Astyanax mexicanus: one gene and its partner. The protein of the gene in region 1 binds, or shares a complex with, the protein of each later gene. Links are inferred from orthologs where the notes say so. Each region holds a gene or a part of one and is shown in the gene's direction. Other genes may lie near its edges.

What was found.
Region 2: the proteins of kcnd2 (region 1) and Kv channel-interacting protein 2 are in contact, whole or in part, in a cryo-EM structure (PDB 7UKH), measured with the Homo sapiens proteins. The link is inferred for Astyanax mexicanus from reciprocal best matches to the Homo sapiens genes KCND2 and KCNIP2. Residues at the interface, in NP_036413.1 of Homo sapiens: Val5, Ala7, Trp8, Leu9, Pro10, Phe11, Ala12, Arg13, Ala14, Ala15, Ile17, Gly18, Trp19, Met20, Pro21, Val22, Ala23, Ser24, Gly25, Pro26, Met27, Pro28, Ala29, Pro30, Trp55, Asp57, Arg61, Arg100; in NP_775283.1 of Homo sapiens: Arg112, Gly113, Phe114, Asn116, Glu117, Cys118, Val123, Phe128, Ile131, Tyr132, Gln134, Phe135, Phe136, Tyr144, Leu148, Phe152, Phe165, Leu169, Ile172, Leu173, Arg180, Trp183, Ala184, Leu187, Tyr188, Met201, Met205, Ile208, Met211, His228.

The regions. Positions count from the first base shown.
Region 1 is NC_064409.1:7,760,671-7,772,854, forward strand, and holds the start of kcnd2 (potassium voltage-gated channel subfamily D member 2), read left to right. Parts: upstream 1-6,329; 5' UTR 6,330-7,206; intron 7,207-8,035; 5' UTR 8,036-8,140; coding exon 8,141-9,252; intron 9,253-12,184. UniProt on the Homo sapiens protein: Voltage-gated potassium channel that mediates transmembrane potassium transport in excitable membranes, primarily in the brain. Mediates the major part of the dendritic A-type current I(SA) in brain neurons.
Region 2 is NC_064432.1:26,943,982-26,956,399, reverse strand, and holds the start of Kv channel-interacting protein 2, read left to right. Parts: upstream 1-6,441; 5' UTR 6,442-6,516; coding exon 6,517-6,524; intron 6,525-6,639; coding exon 6,640-6,722; intron 6,723-12,418. UniProt on the Homo sapiens protein: Regulatory subunit of Kv4/D (Shal)-type voltage-gated rapidly inactivating A-type potassium channels. Modulates channel density, inactivation kinetics and rate of recovery from inactivation in a calcium-dependent and isoform-specific manner.

The DNA.
Region 1 (12,184 bases):
GTGCCTGGATTTCTACAACTCGATTAGTCTTGGAGCTGTTCTGTTGTGTCACCAATATTTTGTTAGTGGATTACAAATAGTGCTTCATTCAGATGCATATTTAATCATGTGGTTTGTGTGTGAGAAATCCTGTTTAAAAATCACAGTAAAAAAAGTAAACTGTGAACCCATACATTGATTTTTCTGAAGTCTGTTTTACATAAAATTAAATATTTCTAAACATTACTTTGCCATCTATTTTGAGTTAGTTGAACATTTTGGGCACATATACATTCAAACTCTCTGAGATCTTTGAGTTGAACCAACTCATAATAACTGAGTTTAGTCTGTTGCCAGATAAATTATCATTCTTCATTATTTTCCATTTTAAGGCAACCGGTTTCCTCACATTTTTTCTAAGTAAATTCATCTCAGAAATTTGAGCAAACCAGCTGCCTTAAATTTAACGATTTAACTTAAAAGTTAAATCGATCTGGTCTTACAGTATAACAAAATTAATCAACCAAATAAACCAACTTCCCCTTTAGTTGTAGTAACTTGATGTTCTAAGTTATGCAAACTTAAGTTGTCATTATCCATTACTTAACTTTTTTCTTTTTTTAAGGCAACCGGTTTCCTCAAATTTGTTAAGTAAATTCAACTTAGTTATTTTACCATTGCTTACATGCTTATGTCATCTATATGCATTTATTTGCAGAAAATGAGAAATAACTGAAATAACAAAAACAAAATGATGCAGAGCTTTCAGACCTCAAATAATGCAAAGAAAACAAGTTCATATTCATAAAGGTTTAAGAGTCAGAAATCAATATTTGGTGGAATAACCCTGGTTTTTAATCACAGTTTTCGGACATCTTGGCATCATGTTCTCCTCCACCAGTCTTACACACTGCTTTTGGATAACTTTATGCCTGCACTTCTGGTGCAAAAAATTATCTTTAGGCACAATAAGATCCAACAGCAGTGTTTGCAAAGAGTCTTGAAATAGACCATTTTTAATGCACCAATATGACCAGTTTCCCATACAAACCCACCCAGAACCCAAACCAAAGAACAAGCGTTCATATCAACACAGGACATCTACAGTAATGAAATGGTGGCAGCTGTTCACAATTACAGTGTATTGAAGTAATCCAATTTTTTAATTTGCCGAGGCTAATCGTGCTTTTCCAGTAAGGTACTGTTTATCTGAAAGCTGTAATTATGTACATATTACTGTAATCTACTGTAGAAACCTTACTGATCTGACCAAGGCTTCCGGAAAATAATACATACACATTCATTCAATTAAGCTAATTATAAGCATTTAAATAAACATGGCAGTATGACTATTAGGGTTATAGCCATTATACAGCTTTGGAAAAAAAAAAAGAGACCATGTCAGTTTCTGAATCAGTTTCTCTGATTTTGATGTTTACAGGTATATATTTGAGTAAAATGAACATGGTTGTTTTATTATATAAACAACACATATAGACAGCATTTCTCCCAAATTCCAAAAACAAATATTGTAATTTAGAGCATTTATTTGCAGAAAATGAAAAATGGCTGAAATAAGTAAAAAAAAGATGCAGAGCTTTCAGAAAACAAGTTCATATTCATAAAGTTTTAAGAGTTCAGAAGTCAATTTCAAACAATTATCATATGTAATAATAAAATGTATTGTTTTTTTTTCCATTTTGTTGCATTAGCGTAATCTTTAAATATTTTTTTAATCTGTTTTTTTTTTTTTTTCATATCACCAAGAGTACCGTTACAGCGAAAACACCATGAAATATCGTGATATTATTTTAGGGCCATATCGCTCACCCCTATACTCCACACATGACAGACAATCCATCATTTTTTGATCATGTCTCTATATCACTGTGCTCCCATTGTGCTCAGTCTACCTGATAATATCAATACTGTCTGTTATGTATAAATTATAATAATGGCAACACTTGTGGGTGGAGCATATGTAGTGCAGTTAGCCACGGTTGTCACTCTCTGTGATGCTGAAACATCTGTAGATGTTTTTATCTCTCATTGTTTCTCTCTCTCTCTCTCTCTCTCTCTCTCTCTCTCTCTCTCACTCACTCACACACTCATCCAGTGTGCATGTGTCTAATTCAGGAGGCACTGCAGGCTGGAGGTAGTTCATTAAGAGTCCCTGCCATACACACACACACACACACTGCGGGACTGACACAGCTGTGGTGGAGCTGGAGCTCATGCACCTTAACTGCAGACTCTGTGGGGAGCGTGAAACAGCCTCCTCCTCCGGGGGAGCACGACTGTGCACTAATCACAGACGCCTCCAGTCAGCAGTCACACCATGCATATGTTGGAATGTTCTCACCATCAGTGGTGCATTCCTATGCTACAGTTTAGCACACTGTAAAACCCAATAAGTTGACAAAACCTAAAACTTTTGTTGTAAACGATTTTGTAATATATATATATATATATTTTAATATAATTTTATTTAATTTTCTTCCCAGCGACTTGGTTCCGATACATCAGCTCACAGATGCCTTGTGCTGATCGACATCACCCTTTTAGTTATGTGAGGAGAGAGCGCCATCTACCCAGCCGGAGGGTGCAGGGCCAACTTTGCTCCCTCTGAACGATGACAGCTGCGATTACTTAATAAATTATACATTTATCAATCAATCAATCAATCAATCAATCAACCTTCATTCAACCCCCAGGAAAAAAAAACATTGATTTATTTTCAATGTTGCCGAGCTTTGTAACAGCAAATGGATTGAACACATTTAATAATAATTTGGAAATAATAAGAAATAAAATAGTAAAAATATTAAAAAATAAAAGAAATACTCATTTTAAATCAACATTTAATAAAAATATATATGTAAAACAGATCATTCACAAATATCATTAAAAAAACATATTTTACACATACAAAGTAAAAAAAAATGTATAAAATATAAAATAAGTAAAAAGTAAAAGTAAATGTAAAGTAAAATGTTAAAAATGATAAGTGATAAAATGAATAATAGAACTAAGATCAAGAATGAAAAATGAACATTAAAATTAAAATAAAAAAATAAAAGTAATAATAAATAAACAAAATAAATAAATAAATAAAAAATATAAAAAAATAAGAGAAACATATTTTATGTATTAAGATTTTATGTATTATAGAGTTACAGGTATACAGTGAATTTTTACTCTATTTTGAGTAATGTTCTAATCCACATTATCAGAAGCAAGAACTACTCAACTAAGTAAAAAAAAAGAAAAGAAACTTAACCCTTAGATGCATAAGTGGGGTCAAAAATGACCCCGAGGGTTGTTATTCTTCAAACTCTCTGAAATTAAACGTTTTTACACTTCCATTTTCCAGGTATTCCTCATAAAACATGTTTGTGACTTGAGGCCATTTGAATTTTTTAAAATGTTTTTATACATTTTAAGGAATTGCAGTTTTTGTGTCACTACCCCAGTTTTCCATATGTGGGGTCAAAAATGACCCCAAGCATTTCCTACAGATTCTCAAGGGTTTTCTTTGGGAATCTTTGATTCTTGCCAAATGTGAGTGTCAGGATACATGTTCTGTCCCACTTACACATCTGATACCTGCATTCTCACCACCAGGAGGTCAGCAGCAGCATACATGTAAGTATTATCTTTATTTATCAACTCCATGCCTTTTCTCTCATAGAGTATCATGTTGGTCAACAAAGTAGACAATAGTTAGCTAACTACAAAATAATCTTAGTAGTAATGTTAGTTCTATGTTTGCTGGCTTACTTAGCTAGCTAACATTACACTAGCTTAGTAAGCTAGCTGATATTACTGCATTTGTTATGTAGAGACTCATTGTATTCATGATTCCGTATAATAAAAGCTAACCTGTTAGGTAACCTATTATATCATTATTGATTGTGTGTGTGTGGGCGCACATGTATGTCTGTGCTTTTAGTTACATATAACAGACATCCCAAGTTGCAAAAGTTGATTTCAGGGAGCCCATCCCCCCCAACTCACCAAATGATAACGAAACTTTAATTTTATATTAATTAATTTGACGTTTTTTTTTAAATAAAATTTAGAGTATTCAGAGTTGAAATAAAATGAGTTTTATCTTTTTTCTTTTTTGGAATGCCTAACCCTAACCCTAACCCTATGCTTTTTTTATCTGACAAAAATTGACAGTAACAATATCACAAGAAATTGCACAAAATCAAAAACATTTCATATCATATTACAATAATTATTAATATTGCCTCCGCCATGATCTGCTTTCTCTCACTCTCTGAACAAATCCCATCCGGGAGGGGGGAAAAACACTGCCCGCCCACACTAAAAACTGATTGGCTGTCTCGCAGACTCTTTGCAGAGAACAGGCCAATCAGAGCCCTCTCTGTTTTGTCTCTCTCCTTCCCACACGCGACTAGAGAAGAAAGTCTGTTGCCTGTGTACACGTTTGCGTGCAGTGCACTCTTGGGGCACTCGTTCTGAATTACGGGAGATTATATGTGACTCGCGGGCATCCGGGAGCCACTGCCGAAATGCGGGAGACTCCCGCAGCTTCAGGGAGACTTGGTTTGTCTGATATAAATGCACAGACTTACTTAGATTTACTTAGATAGCTACATATTGATTTATTGTTTTGTGTGTCATTCAAACATTGTCTGTTTTATGTTTTCTCATCCAAACTATCATGGCTACACAGAGGCCAGCTAGGAGACCCGAAGACCTTGCTCGAGATATGATCCTGAACCCATCGAATGATCGATGAAGAGCCCATCGGTGGGATTGACTCGGGATCTGACATCACAGATCAAAGGAGCTTGTAACTCCTCACATAAAAGTCGACTGGAAGGTACCCCGAACCTACCAACCTACATCACTGAAGCAATGGAAAGGTGTGGAGTGAAAAAAACTGCCAACCAGCAACAGGGAGAGAGGCAAAGAGGGCAGACACAAGAGAAAGAGGTGCCAGATGTGTCCAAGAAACAAAGATCACAAAGCCACCAATTGCTGTTGGAAATGCAGTACCCCGGTGTGCAATGATCACAACCAAAAGCCAATAGTTTGTGAAAATTGCACACAGTTAATAGAGAAAATAATTTTGTGCGGGCAAATGTGAGTGGACAGTGTTCTGATATTACTTTTTTGTCCTGCAGACACATGGACATACTAACAATAATTTTTAAAGATTTTGATGTTATTTCTTGTGGAAAAATGTTACAAAAGTTGTAAATATGCAATATGTTAAATGTAAAATCTGTCTTTTGTTGACCCAAATATAATAAATATAATCACCTTTAACCAAAATTAAGGGCATTTTTTGTATTCATTGCAAAAACACTTTGATTCTAATTGGGGTCATTTTCGACCCCACTCATGGAAGAGTGTAGGTATTGGTCATCCATGCATCCAAGGGTTAAGAAATGAAGGTCAGTCAATGTGATTTTTTTTTAAACTTTGAAATATGCTCAAGTGTAATCGCACATACATTTAATCAGACATGTTACAATGAAACTGGCTTTATTCACACCAAAATTGTTTAATTGTGGAGAAGCTGTGAAAAATATCTAGCATTTCATTGACAAGATATTTTTCGATTTATGTGCTGATTATTACATATAGGTACAATTTGCATTCAGTGGGTGCATTTCATTTAGCTTATTATATAAAAGTCATCCTTTACTTATAATCAGACCCTTCCTTAGTCTTTGATCACGTGATTAATGATCATTAAGAGCTTTACCAGTTGAATTTCCATTCAAATCTGAACGATATGATTCATAACAGTGATGATTCCCATTTGACACGTAACGCCGTGAGGACCCCTACTCCCCTCCACCAGGCTTAGCGCTCGTGCGTTTACGCTGATGACTCGAGCACACCTAAGCAACTGCACGAGCTCATCTCTCTCTCTCTCTCTCTCTCTCTCTCTCTCTCTCTCTCTCTGTCTCTGTCTCTCACGCTCTCAGCTTGTGAGGCTGGCTCGCTCCTGGCGCGCGAGCCACTGAAACCTGTCTCCATCTAGCGGCTTCGCGTCTGCGCGCGCATTAAAAGACACGAGAAGAGCATGCAGAAACCATGCCCCCCCCCCCGCCCCCCCTCCCCCTGCCACCGTGCGCTCCTCACCAGCCTTCCAGCTCAGGTCACGCATAATTACTATACGACACCTCCCATACACTATACAACACGCATCCAGTGGAAAAAGCGCGTGCGAGTCACCATACTAACCATTACTAACCATACTTTTGCGCGTGGTGCAGTTTTTTTTTTCCCCGCACGAGCTTAGCGTAAAACAGAACAGAGAGCACGACCACGAGCACGCTGCCGGTTCCTGAGGGGGGCTTGGTTTCGTAGATGCCTTGAGCACGTGACGCACCTCCAAAAGGAGCTCTCTCTCTCTCTCTCTCTCTCTCTCTCTCTCTCTCTCTCTCTCTCTCTCTCTCTCTCTCTCTCTCTCTCTCTCTCTCGCTTTCTCTCTTTCTCGCGTTTGCGCTTTCTTACGCGCGCGAGCTCGGAGAGAGGAGGAGGAGGTGCACGGAGCTTCAACTTCTGCAGCGCGCGCGCGCGTTTGTTCGTTCATTGGCTTGCTGGCTGGCTGGGTATAAGGAACACCACCCGGTCCTGTGCTGTATTTCTGCGATTTGTGCCATTTCTGCCTTTTTCCTCGCGCGCGCCAGCATTGTGTGTGTGTGAGCATATGTGGATTTTTCTACGCTATTGTTTTCCTTCAATTCATGAGATCATCATTTTACCGCAGACGGAGTAGAAGCGCGTGGTAACTAACGGACACGGAGACGCAAGCTGGATTCCCCTCCTTTTCGCTCCCCCACGCACGCACGCGCACGCACGCTTCTCCAAAGGGGGTCCCTCGCCGTGGTGTTAATGAATGGACCTGTGAGCTGCGAGGCTTTGCAGAAAAAGAAGAGTTTCACTCCAAAGCGGTTTAGAAGCTGCAGCAGCTGCAGAAGCTCCGTCTGCAGAAGTGTCCTTGGCTGACTGCCCCAACCGCGATCCACCAACTACCTTAGTGCTGAACTTGTTGCTGCGCCCTTTCCGAGCACGCTGGAGGACGTTTCTTCGTTTGGGATACTTTTATTCTTGGTTATTCTTGGTTTCAACCAAAGTGTTGTCTGATTGAAGTTTTAAGAGAGAGAAAAAGAGAGAGCGGATTGTGTGATTCATGCCAACTGCTTTTTGAGCAAGAGTGAGTGGATTTATGTGGAGGTGAGTAGAACGTGCTGAAAGCCTTGTCTGTAAATTTGCATGCTTGTAAAATGATCCTCAGTCAGATGAAAAAGATATTCTAGAGATACAAACCCTCAAATGTTCCATCAAAATGTAGTTACAAGTCTGTTCTGTGCTGTAAAAGTAGGAAAAGGCAACTACTGCAAATGAATTGGAGTGTATTAGAATGATGTATTTCTTAAACTAAAGGGACAGAAGATATGCCCTTGAGAGTCTCCCCAAGAATAAGAGTTTTGTACCATTTATTTAGTTTTTATGGACAAAAGGGAGCCCTCCATTTTTCCAGTCCTTGATAATACTATCGCTTGAGTTTATTGCTTTCCTTTAGTTTTCACAGATTTGAGTCTTACCTGCAGTACAGCAGGAGTTTTCAACCCTGCTCCTAGAGAGAGTGACCTTCTAGCAAACTTTGGCTCCAATCAGTCAGTCAATCAATCAATCAATCAACCAATCAACCAATCAATCAATCAATTAATCGATTAATCGATTAATCAGTTAATTAATAAATCAATCAATCAATCATGCTTGTCCAAATCTAATTGATGTCTCTATGATCAGTTTGCTTGAGTTGATTGTGTTGTGTTAGATTTGGTGTTTGATGGAGGTGTAACCTGATGAATGATTTCTAGGCTTTCTAGGATCATGGTTTAAGATTTCTGCTATTTAGCATGCATGTATAAAGCATGCATGCATCTTACATTAAGATAATATTAATAATAATAAAAAACAGCATGCCCTCTGCTGCCCTTTGGGTGACTTCTCTGATTTACTTACTCAGTTTACTCAGTTCACCCTGTTTGCTCTCCAGATGTGCCTTGTCCTCGTGGTGGACCTCTGAGTGCAGTCCAGTGTGTGTCCCACAGTGAGTCTCAAGTCTGTCTGACCCTGTCCAGCTCGCACCCAGCAGCTGACCATGGCAGCCGGAGTCGCGGCATGGCTGCCCTTCGCACGCGCTGCAGCCATAGGCTGGATGCCCGTGGCCAGCGCCCCCATGCCCCCGCCGCCGCACGACAAGCGACGGTCCCAAGAAGGCTTCATCATCCTGAATGTGAGCGGCACCAAGTTCCAGACATGGCGGAACACCCTGGAGAGGTACCCCGACACCCTGCTTGGCAGCACGGAGCGCGACTTTTTCTACCACGAGGAGACCAACGAGTACTTCTTCGACCGCGATCCAGACATCTTCCGGCACATCCTCAACTTCTACCGCACGGGAAAGCTGCACTACCCGCGCCACGAGTGCATCTCAGCCTACGACGAGGAGCTGGCCTTTTTCGGCATCATCCCCGAGATTATTGGCGACTGCTGCTACGAAGAGTACAAGGACCGGCGCCGGGAGAACACCGAGCGCATCCAGGACGACGAGGACAATGAGAACGGCAAAGAGATGACGCCGCCGGACATGACCATGCGCCAGTCCATGTGGCGTGCTTTTGAGAACCCCCACACCAGCACCATGGCTCTGGTATTCTACTATGTCACAGGCTTCTTTATCGCCGTGTCCGTCATGGCCAACGTGGTGGAAACAGTGCCGTGTGGCACATCGTTCAACCGGGTGAAGGATGTATCTTGTGGTGAGCGGTATGCCCTGGCTTTCTTTTGCCTGGACACAGCATGCGTGATGATCTTCACCGTGGAGTACCTGCTGCGCCTGATCGCCGCGCCCAGCCGCTACAAGTTTGTGAAGAGTGTGATGAGCATCATCGACGTGGTGGCCATCATGCCATACTACATCGGCCTGGTCATGACGGACAACGAGGATGTGAGCGGCGCCTTCGTCACACTGAGGGTCTTCCGCGTCTTCCGTATCTTCAAGTTCTCGCGCCACTCGGCGGGCCTGCGCATCCTGGGCTATACGCTGAAGAGCTGCGCCTCCGAGCTGGGCTTCCTCCTCTTCTCCCTCACTATGGCCATCATCATCTTTGCGACCGTTATGTTCTATGCTGAGAAAGGCTCCAACTCAAGCAAGTTCACCAGCATCCCTGCCGCCTTCTGGTACACCATCGTCACCATGACTACGCTGGGGTAGGTGCTGAGGGGTTCTGGGATGGGGAGCTTGCGAGAGTGTGTGTATATATGTATGCATGTATGTGTGAGTGTATGTGTGAGTGAGTGTAGATGAGCGGTGGTCTGTTCTTGGTGGGATTTTTTTTTAACACTTCATGCTGCTGGCGGAGCAGTAGAGTGTTCACAGCATTCGCAGTACAAGCATTCTATTGTACTGGTTTCCAGTAATATTTGTACTATAACAGCATAACAGTAAGTGGAGAGCTAAATATAAAACATGCATTTAGGGCAAGCGACGCTTATTACAAGCAATACAGTATTTTACATACACACACACATATATTGCACATATATTTGTATTTTTAGTTTCATGGAGCCTTTCTATATGGATTGCTGTAGAAGTGGGGACCAGATAAGGTCCCCAAATTGTCAACATTTTGAGAGTGTGTATGTATGTATGTATGTATGTATGTATGTATGTGTGAGTGTAGATGAGCAGTGGTCTGTTCATGGTGGGATTTATATAAATATATATTTCTTTTTAACCAAGGAAACACTTCATGCTGCTGGCGGAGCAGTGTAGTGTTCACAGCATTCACAATACAAGCATTCTATTGTACTGGTTTCGAGTAATATCTGTACTATAACAGCATTACAGCAAGTGGAGAGCTAAATATAGAACATGCATTAAGTGCAGAGGGAAGCTCATTACAAGCAATACAGTATTTCACATAAACACACATCATATATTGCACATATATTTATGTTTCTTGATTAATGGAGCCTTTCTACATGGATTGCTGTAGAAGTGGGGACCAGATAAGGTCCCCAAATTGTCAACATTTTGAGAGTGTGTATATGTATGTATGTGTGAGTGTAGATAAGCCGTGGTCTGTTCTTGGTGGGATTTTTATATATATTTCTTTTTAACCAAGGAAACACTTCATGCTGCTGGCGGAGCAGTGGAGTGTTCACAACATTCGCAGTGCAAGCATTCTACTGTACTGGTTTCGAGTAATATCTGTACTATAACAGCATTACAGTAAGTGGAGAGCCAAATATAGAACATGCATTAAGGGCAGGGGAAGATCATTACAAGCAATATAGTATTTTACATACACACATATATTGCTAATATATATTTGTGTTTCTAGATTTATGGAGCCTTTTTATGGATTGCTGTAGAATTGTCAACATTTTGAGATTGTGTGTATGTATGCATGTTTGTATGTATGTATGGATGTGTAAGTGTAGATGAGTGGTGGTCTGTTCTTGGTGGAAAGGAAACACTTCATGCTGCTGGCGGAGCAGTAGAGTGTTCACAGCATTCGCTTGTACTGTTTTGAGTAATATTTGTACAACAACAGCATTACAGTGGAGAGCCATATATAGAACAGGCATTAAGGGCAGAGGAAGCTCATTACAAGCTAAATTTATAATCACATACACACACATACACATATTGCTTATATATTTGTGTTTCTAGATTCATGGAGCCTTTCTATATAGGTGAACTTCATTACAAGCAATATTTCTCATAAACACACACATAATTGTATTTTTTGATTTATGGAGCCTTTTTTATATGGATTGCTGTAGAAGTGGGGACCAGATAAGGTCCCCAAATTGTCAACATTTTTTGATTGTGTGTATGTATGTATGTATGTATGTGTGAGTGAGTATGAGAGTGAGTGTGTGAGTAAGTGTAGATGAGCGGTGGTCTGTTCTTGGTGGGATTTTTTTTTGGCGAAGCAGCATTCGCTTGTACTGGTTTTGAGTAATATCTGTACTTAAACAGCATTGCAGTAAGTGAAGAGCCAAATATAGAACAGGAATTAGAGGCAGGTGAACCTCATTACAAGCAATATTTCTCATAAACACACATATAATTGTATTTCTTGATTTATAGAGCCTTTTTTAATATGGATTGCTGTAGAAGTGTCAAGATTTTATATGCATTCTAGCATGCTATCTAGGAACACATTGCATGTCTTCCACTCCGTATCATTCACCAACAGATGTGTTCGCCTCCAGTAGTGGCTGTATCCTGTGGCAGTTGAAGCAGTGGCAGCAGTGGCAGCGAAGAAACCATATTGGAGGGGAGCCGAGAGGAAGACCGCCGGCGCAGCTATTACGATGCGGAGCATCCGAGGCGATTACAGTAATACATCCCTATTGATGTGTTTTCCCATTCATTAATTGGCTCGCTCCCCGGCTCAGCGCGCTTCTCCGTGCCTCCCACCTGCCTGGCAGGGCGCTCTCCGTGGTGCTGGAGCGGTTGCCCGCATGCCGCATGCTCTGCCCAGCGGCTCTGCTGGGCTGTTCGGGAGAGACGGATGCTGCCAGGCCCACACGGGGGGGTGAGTCACACTCCGGGGCAATAACCCAACCGTGCGCTCCAGCACACAACTGGCGCTTTGATCAGCCTGATTTTGAAGTGCGCTGCAGTTTCTGTCATAACACGAAACTGCGAATGGCAGTACGCCCAGATCGAGCCGATAGACTACACAGAACAGGTCAGCGGGCTGTAATTCTCACTTAAAGCCTTCACTGTTCAAATCCACAGAGGGACATTCGAGCTGATTTTACGCATCGGCTTCAACAATATGCAGGCTGCCTTCCTCGTTGTCCTACCTCGTGAATTAGCATCTGTGTCTTAGCAGCTTATCTTGAGCTTGTCTTAAGTCTTGGTGCTGTACTTGGTTCTAGAGCATCCTATTATGTAGCCTTATAAAAAAATATATATAAAATGTCCTCCTATAGAGTGAGACTGTAGACCAGGGATGTCCAAACTTTTTTTGTTGGGGGCCAGAAGGAGAAATAAACGGGCCACACTCTGTAATAAACAAATAATGAAATATACCACAGAAATGCGCACCCTCTCTGCTTTTAGACTCTTTTGCCCCGTTTTTCTGCGCTAGAAATGCGCACCCTCTCCGATTTTAGACTC
Region 2 (12,418 bases), on another chromosome or scaffold:
CACAATGCGTCATCCTACTTTGAAGTATCAGATAAAGATGCATCTTCTTCTTTTATTAAAAAAAATGTTTTTTATACTTATTAAACTTTAATTGCTGTTGAAGGAACCAATCACATTTCAGAATGCTATATTTCTTAAGTATGTAATTATACGCTCTTAAAAAAAATGAGCTCCTGCTGTAGTAGAGTTTCCATGTTTGGAAAGGAAATTTGTGTGAAGAGGATTTTTATGGTGATTGGCAACCCTCTGAAAAATGCCGCCCACTTCTCACTAAGCCCCGCCTCTACATGGTGATTAACATTATTAATTAACATACTTAATAGTCAGTCAACAGTTGCATGTGCTGCTGATGCTGACACCAGCTTTAACAGCCATTGAGCTCGCTCTGAATTTCCAGTAATTACCAACCGTCCATATAAAACTACACCTGGATTCTTATTTTTCTTTGTTCTTTATTGTTCATTGTTCTGTTCCACCTTTAGAAGCCTGTGTGTCGCCACAGCAGCAGTATTTAAGGTGGAATGGTAAATGTAAACAAATTTGAAACTTTTATGATTTGCCCGCTATGGAAAGGTTGTAGGTGATCCCAAATAAAGCATGCCTCTTTAACTCTTTAACTAATATGTTTTAAGTACAATTAAGTAGATTAAGTTTTCATCAGGGCACGCCTATTTGTTTTATAATAAAAGCAGGATTTGGCTCAACCACACACACACACACACACACACACACACACACACACACACACTCTCACGCCCTGAAGAGTTTGGATTGTGAAAGTCCACTCTCTCAGTTTCAGTGAGAGGCTCATGAAAGATGCAGGCGGTGTAATCAAGGACAATCGACGTGCCCCCGGAGCCGTGAGAACCGCCATACTGAGTGTGTGTGTGTGTGTGTGTGTGTGTGTGTGTGTGTGTGTGTGGGATGTAAGAATGGCAGATAGGAAGGACCTCACAGGACCCTCTCTTCAGTCTGCTGGTTATAGAGCTGCAGCGTCAGCGAGCTGGAGACTCATTTCACACCTATTTAATCAGAAGCAGTTTAATTTTTAGTGTGTGGAGTTTAAAATAGAGGTTTTACAGTTCTTTAATATTACAGTGTATGAGTTAGGCAAGGTAAAGCAAGTTCATTTTTTTATATAGCAGCTTTCATACACAACGGTCATTTAAAGTGATTTACAAACTAGGAAATACACAGAGAAGTCAAATTAAAAAAACATGTAAAAGAATAAGAGTAAAAATGGAAATAAAAACTAAAATAGGATTAAAGCATGATTGATTCAAACATGATTAAAATAAAGAAAAGTACAATTAAAAACATGTAAAAGAACAACAAGGAATTAAAAATAAAACTAAAATAAGAATAAAACATGATATAAAACTGCCATTCGGACAATTCCGCAGCTTCCTTTCTCTCTCGGCCAATCGCATTACAGAAATTCAAAACTCGTCACCTTAAACTTTATTCTTACAAAAAATCCCATCATAAAACATTATTTTAGTAAACTTAAGTGCAAACTTCAGTAGATTTAAGTTTGTGTTTTTTTTAACATCGTTTGTAACACACCTAAAGTATATTAGTGTAAATATACTACAATTTTTTTTATGTGTCAGTCCTGATGCTTAAAGTCTGCTCAGTCTGACTGCTCTACACAACAAGGACTGCAATTCCCAGCATGCACTCTGCTGATCCTGCTCCCCCAGTTACTGATTGCTTTCTCCTGGCGTGTCTTGTATAAAAACTCCTCAGTTTGCTCTATTCACTGCTTTTATGACACATTTTCCTTTGTTTATTGTCTTTTTTACCGACCTGTTTTTGTTTCAGACTTTCAATTTTTGCATATTGTTTGTTTCCATTGCCGATCTTTGTATTTTTGACTATTTAAATCTATTTAAATCTAATCTGGATTTACTGTGTTTGAGCCCGTTTTACCTTGCTACACTCTGGTATGTTGTTTATATTTGCTGCCATATTTTTACATGATGATTATCATGGATGTGTTTTGAGCTTATCGGCGAATCAGAGTGTCTTCAAGAGTAGATCAGGTGAGCTCTGACTTTGGCGTATTGCTATTTAAACAGTGCAGCTACCTGGACGTATCTTTTGCTTCGTAACTGGTCAGATTGATAGTTTTGAGTAGTTTATCAGGCTGTATTATGCTGGGATGTTTTTGCTTTAATTCCTGAGTAGTGAACTAAATATATGCTGGTTCTGTTTGCTGTTATTTCGCTGCTTTTTTGGCGTAATTTTGAACGTTTTTCGACATGCGCTGGTTTTAGGCGTCTGGTTTTTGTGTTTGTGTTAATCTGAGTATCATGAATTACCCAGAGCGGTTCTGACTCGGTTTAAAACACTTATCTCCACCCTCAGCTGTAATCCTCACATATAAACTGGCAGAGTGTTTCTCAGAGGGGTTACTCATCAACATGAATATCACACTCTCTCACTACACACTGCAGAGAGGATGGCAGTGCCAGCCACAGAACCAGCCACAGCACCAGCCACAGCGCCAGCCACAGAACCAGCCACAGCACCAGCCACAGAACCAGCCACAGTGCCAGCCACAGAACCAGCCACAGCACCAGCCACAGCACCAGCCACAGCGCCAGCCACAGAACCAGCCACAGCACCAGCCACAGCACCAGCCACAGCACCAGCCACAGAACCAGCCACAGTGCCAGCCACAGTGCCAGCCACAGAACCAGCCACAGCACCAGCCACAGCACCAGCCACAGAACCAGCCACAGAACCAGCCACAGCACCAGCCACAGCACCAGCCACAGCACCAGCCACAGAACCAGCCACAGCACCAGCCACAGCGCCAGCCACAGCGCCAGCCACAGAACCAGCCACAGAACCAGCCACAGAACCAGCCACAGCACCAGCCACAGAACCAGCCACAGCCAGTGATGTCAGTAATGCGTTACTCTAATTTAACCCCTTTTTTTCAGCAATGAGTAATTGTAGCGACCACTCTTTCCATTCTGTTTAATCAGAAACAGGAGTAAAGCAGCATAAAGTTATCCAAAAGCAGTGTGTAAGACTGGTGGAGGAGAACATGATGCCAAGATGCATGAAATTAAAACTGTGATTAAAAACCAGGGTTATTCCACCAAATATTGATTATTTCTGAACTCTTAAAACTTTATGAATATGAATTTGTTTTCTTTACATTATTTGAGGTCTGAAAGCTCTGCATCTTTTTTAATTTTCTGCATATAAATAAATGCTCTAAATGAGAATATTTTTATTTGGAATTTGGGAGAAATGTTGTCTGTATACATGGAGATATTTGGAGTGCATTAGTAACTAATCTCACTCAGTAGTTACTTTTAAAATTAAGTAATGTATAAAGTAACTTTTTAAAGGAGTAATCAGTAATTAATAATCAGTAATGAGATTATATATTTTGTAAGGTAACTGTGCCCCAGAGAGTCCCAGGGAATTCCAGCTCCCGTGGATTTTGTTTTCCAGCAGGAGCCAGAGCTTCAGTACAGCGTCCGAGTTCATATCTGTGTCATGAGATCTTACCCTCTGATAACTCAGGGCCACTTAATGACTCAGACTATCGATCCATCCCCCGCCTTTCTCACGATTACCACCCACTGAATTCAATTATTACCCAATCCCTCACATAAAATACACAGACTACTGTTCTACACACCAGAACCCGTGGAGATTATCTCATTAATTCATTCTGCTGCAGTGTAAACAGTGCTGGAGATATCTCCTCACGCCTGAGATAATAAATCTCACTTTAATTCATCCATCGATCCATTAATGCTTTAATTTCTGCAATAATAATAATAATAATAATAAAGAGTTTAATTAGAGTAGTGAACACTGGATACAATGAGTTTGGTTGGTGAGGTAGGTGAGACAGATAGACAGACAGACACAGAGATAGACGGAGAGAGACAGAAAAAGGGATAGACACAGAGAGAGACAGACAAAGACTGAGACATAGACAGAGAGACACAGAAAGAGTGCTAAATAGTGAAAGACAGACAGAGAAAGAGACAGGTAGGACGAAAGAGAATCAAAGATAGAGACAGAGACAGACAAAGAGACAGACATACAGACAGAGACAGACAGACAAAGGGATAGAAAGAGAGACAGATAGTTATAGAGAAACAGAGAGAGAGACAGACTGAGACATAGACAGAGAGAGAGATAAAGACATAGACAGAAAGATAGACTGAGAAAGACAGACAGAGAGATACAGACAGAGTGAAAGAGACAGACACAGGCAAAGAGAGACGGATACACAATGAGACAGACATAGAAATAGACAGAGACAGACAGACAGAGAGAGAGAGACACTTTCCAAAGGAAATGTAGGCAACGCACTTAAATAAAAATAAGTAGATATTCAGTATAAAGGGAATAAAAACTGTAGTACAAAAATGTAGAAAAGTATAAAACTGGTCATTTAACCAAGAGGAGCTACTCTGAAGAATCTAAAATATTAAATATTTTGTTTTTACACTTTTTTCTTTAATAAATAATTATATATGTTTTTTATTATAAACCTACAATGCATACCATTTTAAAATAATGATAAAAACACTGAATTTAAGGTGTGTACTGGTGATATATACAGTATATATATGTACACAGAAGTGTATATCTCTATATGTTTGATGCGTAGGTTGGGATGGGGTGGTAATACTGTATTTTATATAACTGTCAGGTTCTTCAGTGCTGATTTAGATCTATTGATTATTGATTAAGAATTAGCTGTAATTGTTTAAATCCTAACAGTTCTAATATTTATAGGAGATCTGAGGACCCACACACTGCCCCACTCCTCACCCTGATACCACCTGATACCACACACCTGAGTCCCACCAGGTCACAGAGCTCCAGGTGGGGCAGAAAGAGGCCAGTTTATTACCCCAACACCTCTAAATACAGTTACAAATATATATATACCACTTCTATTTTCATATTTAGTTCATTTGAGCTTAGATAAAATATTATAAAGAGATAAAAATGATTGTAATTCCATCACTGCATGTTTGTGAAATCACCTTGCCTCAAAAAAAAAAATTGAATATGATTAAAAAGTTACTTTATTTCAGTAAATTCAGTTGTGTAAAATGTGGAACTTATATATTATATACATGTATTAGACACAGAATGATACATTTTAAGCATTTTTTTATTTTATTGTTGATTATTGATTATGGCTTACAGCCAATAAAAAATAGTGTTTTAGAAAATTTGAATATTATATTATATAAGAACAAGTGGTACTTTTGGTAAGCAGCGTGGGCAGTGTGCCAAGTCCTGCTGGAAAATGAAATCCGCATCTCCATAAAAGTTGTCATCAGCAGAGGGAAGCTGTAAGATATGAAGTGCTGTAAGATTTTGTGGGAAAACACTCATTTATGTGAAATATTTCCATTTATCACTGTTTTATAGACATGTTTTTTTCTCATTTTAAAGTCCTGTTTACTGATTATAGCTGGATCCAGAAAGTCCTGAAAGAAAGTGTTAAGAATTTAAACAGAAATGCTAAATATAAAACAATATTACAATTTAATTCAAATTTATATTTCTACACCATCAAGCAATTGAGCGTTTATTTCCTACAGTGTTTGACTGTGACTCAGAATCAGGATCTGACTGCTTACTGAATATAGAACGATATTTAGAGAAACAGAGAGAGAGAGAGAGAGAGAGAGAGAGAGAGAGAGAGGGAGAGAGAGAGGGAGAGAAATAACCCGGTCCTGTATGTGGTGTACAGCTGCGTGGTGAATAATCGTGTGTAATAAGTGTGAATAAGTGTGAGATAAACGCTGACCCGTATCTATAACTCAAAGATTATATAATATTTATATACAAATCTGAGCTAAACTCCCTGGATACTGAGAGATACTGGAGCAGAAAACACGTAAATCCACTATATTTAAAATATCAGGAGGAGAGAGAGAGAGAGAAAGAGTGGTAGAGAGAGTGTATTAGAGCGAGAGAGAGTGGTAGAGAGAGGTAGAGTGTATTAAAAGGGAGAGAAAGAGAGAGAGAGGTAGAGAGTGTATTAGAGAGAGAGAGAGAGATAGAGAGTGGTAGAGAGAGAGGTAGAGAGTGTATTAGAGAGAGAGAGGGATAGAGAGAGATAGAGAGAGAGAGAGAGAGAGAGAGAGAGGTAGCGTGTGTATTAGAGAGAGTGGTAGAGAGAGGTAGAGAGTGTATTAGAGAGAGAGAGTGGTAGAGAGAGGTATAGAGTGTATTAGAGAGAGAGAGAGAGTGGTAGAGAGAGGTATAGAGTGTATTAGAGAGAGAGAGAGAGTGGTAGAGAGAGGTATAGAGTGTATTAGAGAGAGAGAGAGAGTGGTAGAGAGAGGTATAGAGTGTATTAGAGAGAGAGAGAGAGTGGTAGAGAGAGGTATAGAGTGTATTAGAGAGAGAGTGGTAGAGAGAGAGGGAGGGAGGTGGAGGATCAGCTGAGAGCTCGCGAGCTCAGATCCTGGTTGGATTTCAGTGGAGTGAAGATCTCGCGCGCTCTGCTGGATGAACCGGTTGGTTTGTAACTTTTTTGCGGTTCTGGTTCTAGATCCGGTTCTGTTGGGTTGTGTCGGGTTCTGCTCGGTACCGGAGCTCCGGGTTTCAGCGTGGTTCTCCGTGTTTCTGTAGGATTGTGGAGATGAAGGCGAAGAACCGGGACCAGAGCTTGTCTGACTCCAGGGATCTGGATGGATCTTACGATCAGCTGACCGGTAAGTTTGATAGTTTTGTTTGTAGAAACATCAAACATGCGGTTAATTTTTAATTATAATAAATCCTCATTACGTTATATTTATTCATAAAAACGAGGGTTTACCTCAGTATTAATCGTTTACTGTTGGTTATTATCGGTTATTGTTGGATATTTTTGGTTTTATAAACATGTAACCTTAATTACCGCATGTTTGATTGTTTGTTTGGTTGTTTGTTGTTAGCATGCGTGCTAATATTTTTCAGTTTTGTGTATTTTGCTGACCCGGCTTTTGGTTTTGGGGAGTTTCTTGATAAGTGTTGATTTATTGCTTAATTAATTGGTTGATTGGTTAATGGTTAATTGATTAATTGCACCTGTAAACACCTTGCTGGAGAACCCAAACACTATGACCGCTCAAGCTGGTTAATTTATTAAGCTGGTTAATTAACGCTGGTTTAGTTGGACTACAATGAAGCTAGTTATCTTAAACTCAACATTTTGTTTGTGTTTTTAAATGTTTCTTAGACATTTTTCTTCATATTTAATGTACTTTTTGAGAAATAAACTTGCTTGAGGAACTAAACCCTATGGCTGCTCAAGCTCGTTAATTAAGCTGGTTAATTTTTGCTTGATACTTTTGAAGGTTTAGTTGGTCTACAATAAGGGCTGGATTTCTCAAACGTTTCTTAGCACAAAATTATTTTTCCTAAATGTTTCTTAGACATAAGACATTTTTCTTAATGTTTAAGGTACTTTTTTAAGAAATAAAGCTGCTCGAAAAGTCAAATCCTATGGCTGCTCAAGCCAGTAAAAGGGCTAGTTCATTTTTAGTTGATGCGTTTATTGTATTAGTTGGTTTACAATGAAGCTGGTTTCCTCAAATGCAACAATTTGTTTGTGTTTTTAAATGTTTCTAAGACATTTTTTATTCGTGTTTAATGTACTTTTTGAGACATAAACCTACTGTAGGGCTGGGTGATATATTGGGTTTTTAAAAATTATTATTATTATTATTATTATTATTATTATTATTATATTTCATACAGGATATAAGAAGTGTCTTTTTGCTATTACTTTATGGGATGAGATATACATCATACATAACCATTCAGCAAACAAAAAAAGTAGATGATGTAAAAGAAATGTATGTATTTACAATTGTATTTACATTTATTTAATGTTTTTTTATAATAAGTTTAATTTGAATTGCCTTTGAATTTCTCAGTTTTTAATGATCTTAACTTGTGCTTGATCGACTTAGCTACCCTAGATAATATAGCTTTATCTCTAAAGTGCCTTATGGGATGCAAAAATAATGAGGAAAAAAAATATATATATTTTGTTTGATTCAAATGACCAGCTTTTTAAAACAGCTTAACCTTTTAAATCTTAAACCATTTTAAACCGTCTGAAATGAGCTAGTCTGGTCTTAAACTGGGTTCTTCAGCAGGGTAATGTTATTTTGTTTATTTTAGGTCTATCTAGAGTCTCAGGTGACTCCAGGTTGGATCTGTTTTTTTGTAGTTCTGCTGGCGGCCATATTGCTTGGGTTTAAAACTCACCTGTTGGAACTGTTTGTTTGGGGCTGTTGGAGATGTTTGCACTGACTGTGTGTGAATATATATATATATATGTGTGTGTATATATGTATAGATGCATGGATGGATGAATGGAGGTAGAGGGAAAAAGAAGAGGAAGGATCTTTTCGTCATCGTGGATGGATGGATGGATGGATGGATGGATGGATGGACGGATGAGCGAGACCCAGGCAGCATGGTTAGTAGATTTTAGAGTAGTGTAATAGCGAGCGGAGCTGATATCACTATCTCACTCTTCTCGCACTAGTGATTAAATGAATTGCTCATCACACTGTTGACACATCTGGGTCTCGGGGGGATTTTACAGGCTGGAAATAAGTGGATTTAATGTAGGGTTGCCATGTCAGAGCGGGAATATTGCTGGACACTCAATATTTAGCTTTATTTTGTGCTGAATTCCTTGTATTTGCACTATAATGCACACCTTATTATAAGGCGCACTATTAATAAATGTCTATTTTCATACGTAAAGTGCACAAGATAATAAAACAAAAAAATGTGGCTGTTTCTCCTGAAAGGCGGGATTTTCTTCTTGAAACGGCACCATGATTGGTTAAGAGACACACAGCGGTCAGTGGCCCGTCTCTTCAATAATATATGTGTATATATATTTAATTTTACTATTATACTGGAAATTTAAGGGAAAATACTAATACTGGAGGACGGCGGGAAAGAAGAGTAAAATACAGAGGTTTTCCGGCCCAAACGAGAGACTTGACCGGTATGATAGCGTGACTTTTAAGTGTTTTTTAACCGTAAAAACTGCAGGGGACCAAATCTGGCTTTTGAAAAAGTGCTGGGGACATGTCCCCCCGCCCCCTTCGTCCCCTCCCCGAATGATGTCCATGGGCTCGACTGTGTTTGGGGTAATCAGCGTTAATGTGAATAAAATGTGGTGAATCCAGATGGAGAACAGCTCTGGGCTGTGATTGGTTATTCACTGCAGATCCTGAGAGCAGAAGCTGGAACTGTTTAGTGGCTTTTTGCACAGAAAATGGGTGTTTTTCAGAAATGAGGAAAAGCATGGTGCTGATATCGTACAAAAATATATATTTATTAATGTGAGCACTCAGACCCCATCCTGTTTCTTCTTTTTTTTTTACCCCCATTTGTTATTTGGAACTACAAAAAGACTGAACTACAAGAGGAAGGCGTGAAATAATCAATCTATAGATTACAAACCCTTTAAAGAACCCGATACATGTTTAGCTATAGCAGTGGAGCGCAGAGAGACTAATAAAATGTGCGGGTCTGTCACGGTGGTTTAGCGCTAAGTGTGTTCGTGTTCAAGTCCCGACCTGGGAGGAGTTTCCCTCTTCTCCTCGTATCTGTGGGGGTTTCCTTCCAAAGATACTGAGTGGCGCTCAGTGCTGGATTCAGTTCTCCAGGTGGACTGTGGTTTCCGGTTGAGAGTACGCTGTGTGTGATTGGCTGCTGCTTCTCACTGGTGTGTGTTTGTTTGTGTATGTCTGCTATAGGGCTGTTTATTGACAACAACCTGGTGATTCAATACACATCACAATACAGGGCCCATGTTTCGATATCACAATATACTAGTGCATCTCAAAAAATTTGAATATCATTGAAAAGTAACTTTATTTCTGTAATTCAGTTTAAAATATGAAACTCATATATATTATATAGATGTATTAAACACAGATGGATCTATTTTAAGAGTTTATTTCTTTTAACATTGATGCAATATTTTTACTGATGATCAGAGATGGTTTTGGTTTCATGGAGATGCGGATTTCATTTTCCAGCAGGCCTGGACACACTACTGAATAAAAACAAACTTTTTTGGCAATGATATTCTTTAATGATATTATTTAACCGCCGTCTGCCAACTAGTGGCCGGGAGTTTAAGCTCAACTTTAACAAAAGGCTTTGTGGTTGCTGCATAGTTGCTATGGTGTTGCTATGGTAAAAATGTTGGTTACTGAGGCTTTGCTTTGAGATTCTGATTGGTTTCTCAGGCTTTGATTTGCTAAGGCTTTGCTTTTTGGTTCCTAAGGCGTTGCTATGATAAAGGTGTTGGTTGCTAAAGCTTTGCCTTGTGGTTGCTGAGGTGTTTATATGGTTAAGGTGTTTGTTGCTGTGGATTTGCTTTGTGGTTAATTTGTGGTTGCTGAGGTGTTGCTGTGATAAAGATGTTGGCTTGCTGAGACTTTGTGGTTGTTTTGAGGTTGCTATGGTGTTGCTATGGTAAAGAAAAACAAAAACAAAACATGAGTTGTAAAAACTGTGTAAAACATGAGTCTAAAGTGTCCTTGGGTTTCTGTATAAGTGTAATTTTAAGTATTGATTGATTGATTGATAGATTGATAGTGTTCTGTAGTATAATAACGCTGTGTTTAGAGATATTGGAGTTTATAAAGGATGAGATATATATTGTGTAAATGTTGGATCAGTGTGAGTTGGTGGTGTGAAAGCGTGGCTGTGTGGGAGCGGCAGGCTGACTCAGATCTGCCGGGTTGGAGCTGGTGACTGGTGACGGGTGGCAGGTGACCCGTGCAGTGATTTAAGGTGGCGTGGGTTAAGGTGGCGTGGGAGATGCAGACTCTATAAACCCGGAGCTTTGATTCTTACAGAACTCCAGAAATATCTTTCTCTCTCTTTCTCCTCCTCCTATTGGTTAATTCAGAGCGTGCTGTACCAAAAGATCAAAGCTGGATTACAGAAATCACGTCTGATGAGAATTTAATTCAGTAAGAGTTTCTGTGATAAAGAGAAATTAAACTATTATCCCTCGTTATGACTTATGATGTTTTATTATTATGTTTATTATTTTCTCTCTATAAAACATTTCAGCACGCAAAACCTCAATTCAGAGATTCAATGTTTTTCTTTTTCTTTATTTTTCTATATTTTAAATTAATGCTGAATCATCTGGGTTTTTTTTTTTCTGTGATGCTGGTAACTCAGATGAACTTATCCTATGCAACAGAGGAAACGCTTGCTCTTCCATTCCTTGAGCATTCCTGATGAGTGCCAGTTCCATCACAATCATAATGGTTTTCATAGTCTTGGCAGAAAATGCACAAAAGGATACTTTTCACATCCGGCCCCTGTCACTCTCAGCCCCGATATACCCGCCCCCCTGCCACCCTTGACCCCCTCCCCTCTCGTCGCTGTTACACCCCTCCCTAGCTATACCCGCCCCCCTGTCACCCTTGATACTCGTTAACCTTGACCCCCGCCACTCCTGTCGCCGTTACACCTGGCCCTCTGCCACCCTCATGAACAATCTCTGAATCTGTTGATACACAGTTTGTTTTGGTTTGTGTTGTAGTCTTACATCAGTAGGAACAGGAGGTCTGCTGTCCTCAGAGAACTCCTGCCGCTCATGGAGCACTGAAAACCCTCTAAATCTTCTAAAATGAACAATTTCCAAGAAATCGTACCGTTTTTTTCAGGCATCAGGGAGCTACTGTTCATGTGCAGGAAACTCCCGGAACCTCTGGGAGAGGCGAGAGGTCTTCCTTTCTTCCTTTTTATTATGCTAGATATTATTATTATTATAATCAACCAGGAGATAAAAACATCATCTCAAGCATATAAAAATTAATACATGAAAATAAAACTACCAGACTGAAGGTGTTTTAGAGATGTTTACTTGTCCGGTATGAAGGCGATCTTTTCCTCTGAGTCGCTGCAGTTTTACAGTTATTCTCTATTTCTAATAGAGGCAGGTCAGTTCCGTGTCTCTGGGCTGGATGATGATCAGGTTCTCAGCTGGATTTTGAGGGAATTTAACTCGAGTTCTGCTCTGTTTCTGCAAATGTTTGCTTTCAGCTTTTATAATTCATATCATGACTAATATTTCATGTAGGAGACGGGAGGAGGCTTCAGATCTGCTGCTTCCATTATGTGTAGATGCAGCGATGCTATTTTAGGAGGAAAGACTGTTTTCTTCCTCTCAGACTGAAGATCTTCTCATTCAGAACCAGTTAAAAGTTTATTTACACCTTAAAATCAGCCTTTTCTCATTATTTATAAATGTTCTGCACTGTAGATTTAACATTAAACTCATCTGAACTACAAAGATACATATAGAGTTGGTATACAGTGAATAACTCTATTTGATTAATGTTCTAAACACATTATGATGATGGAA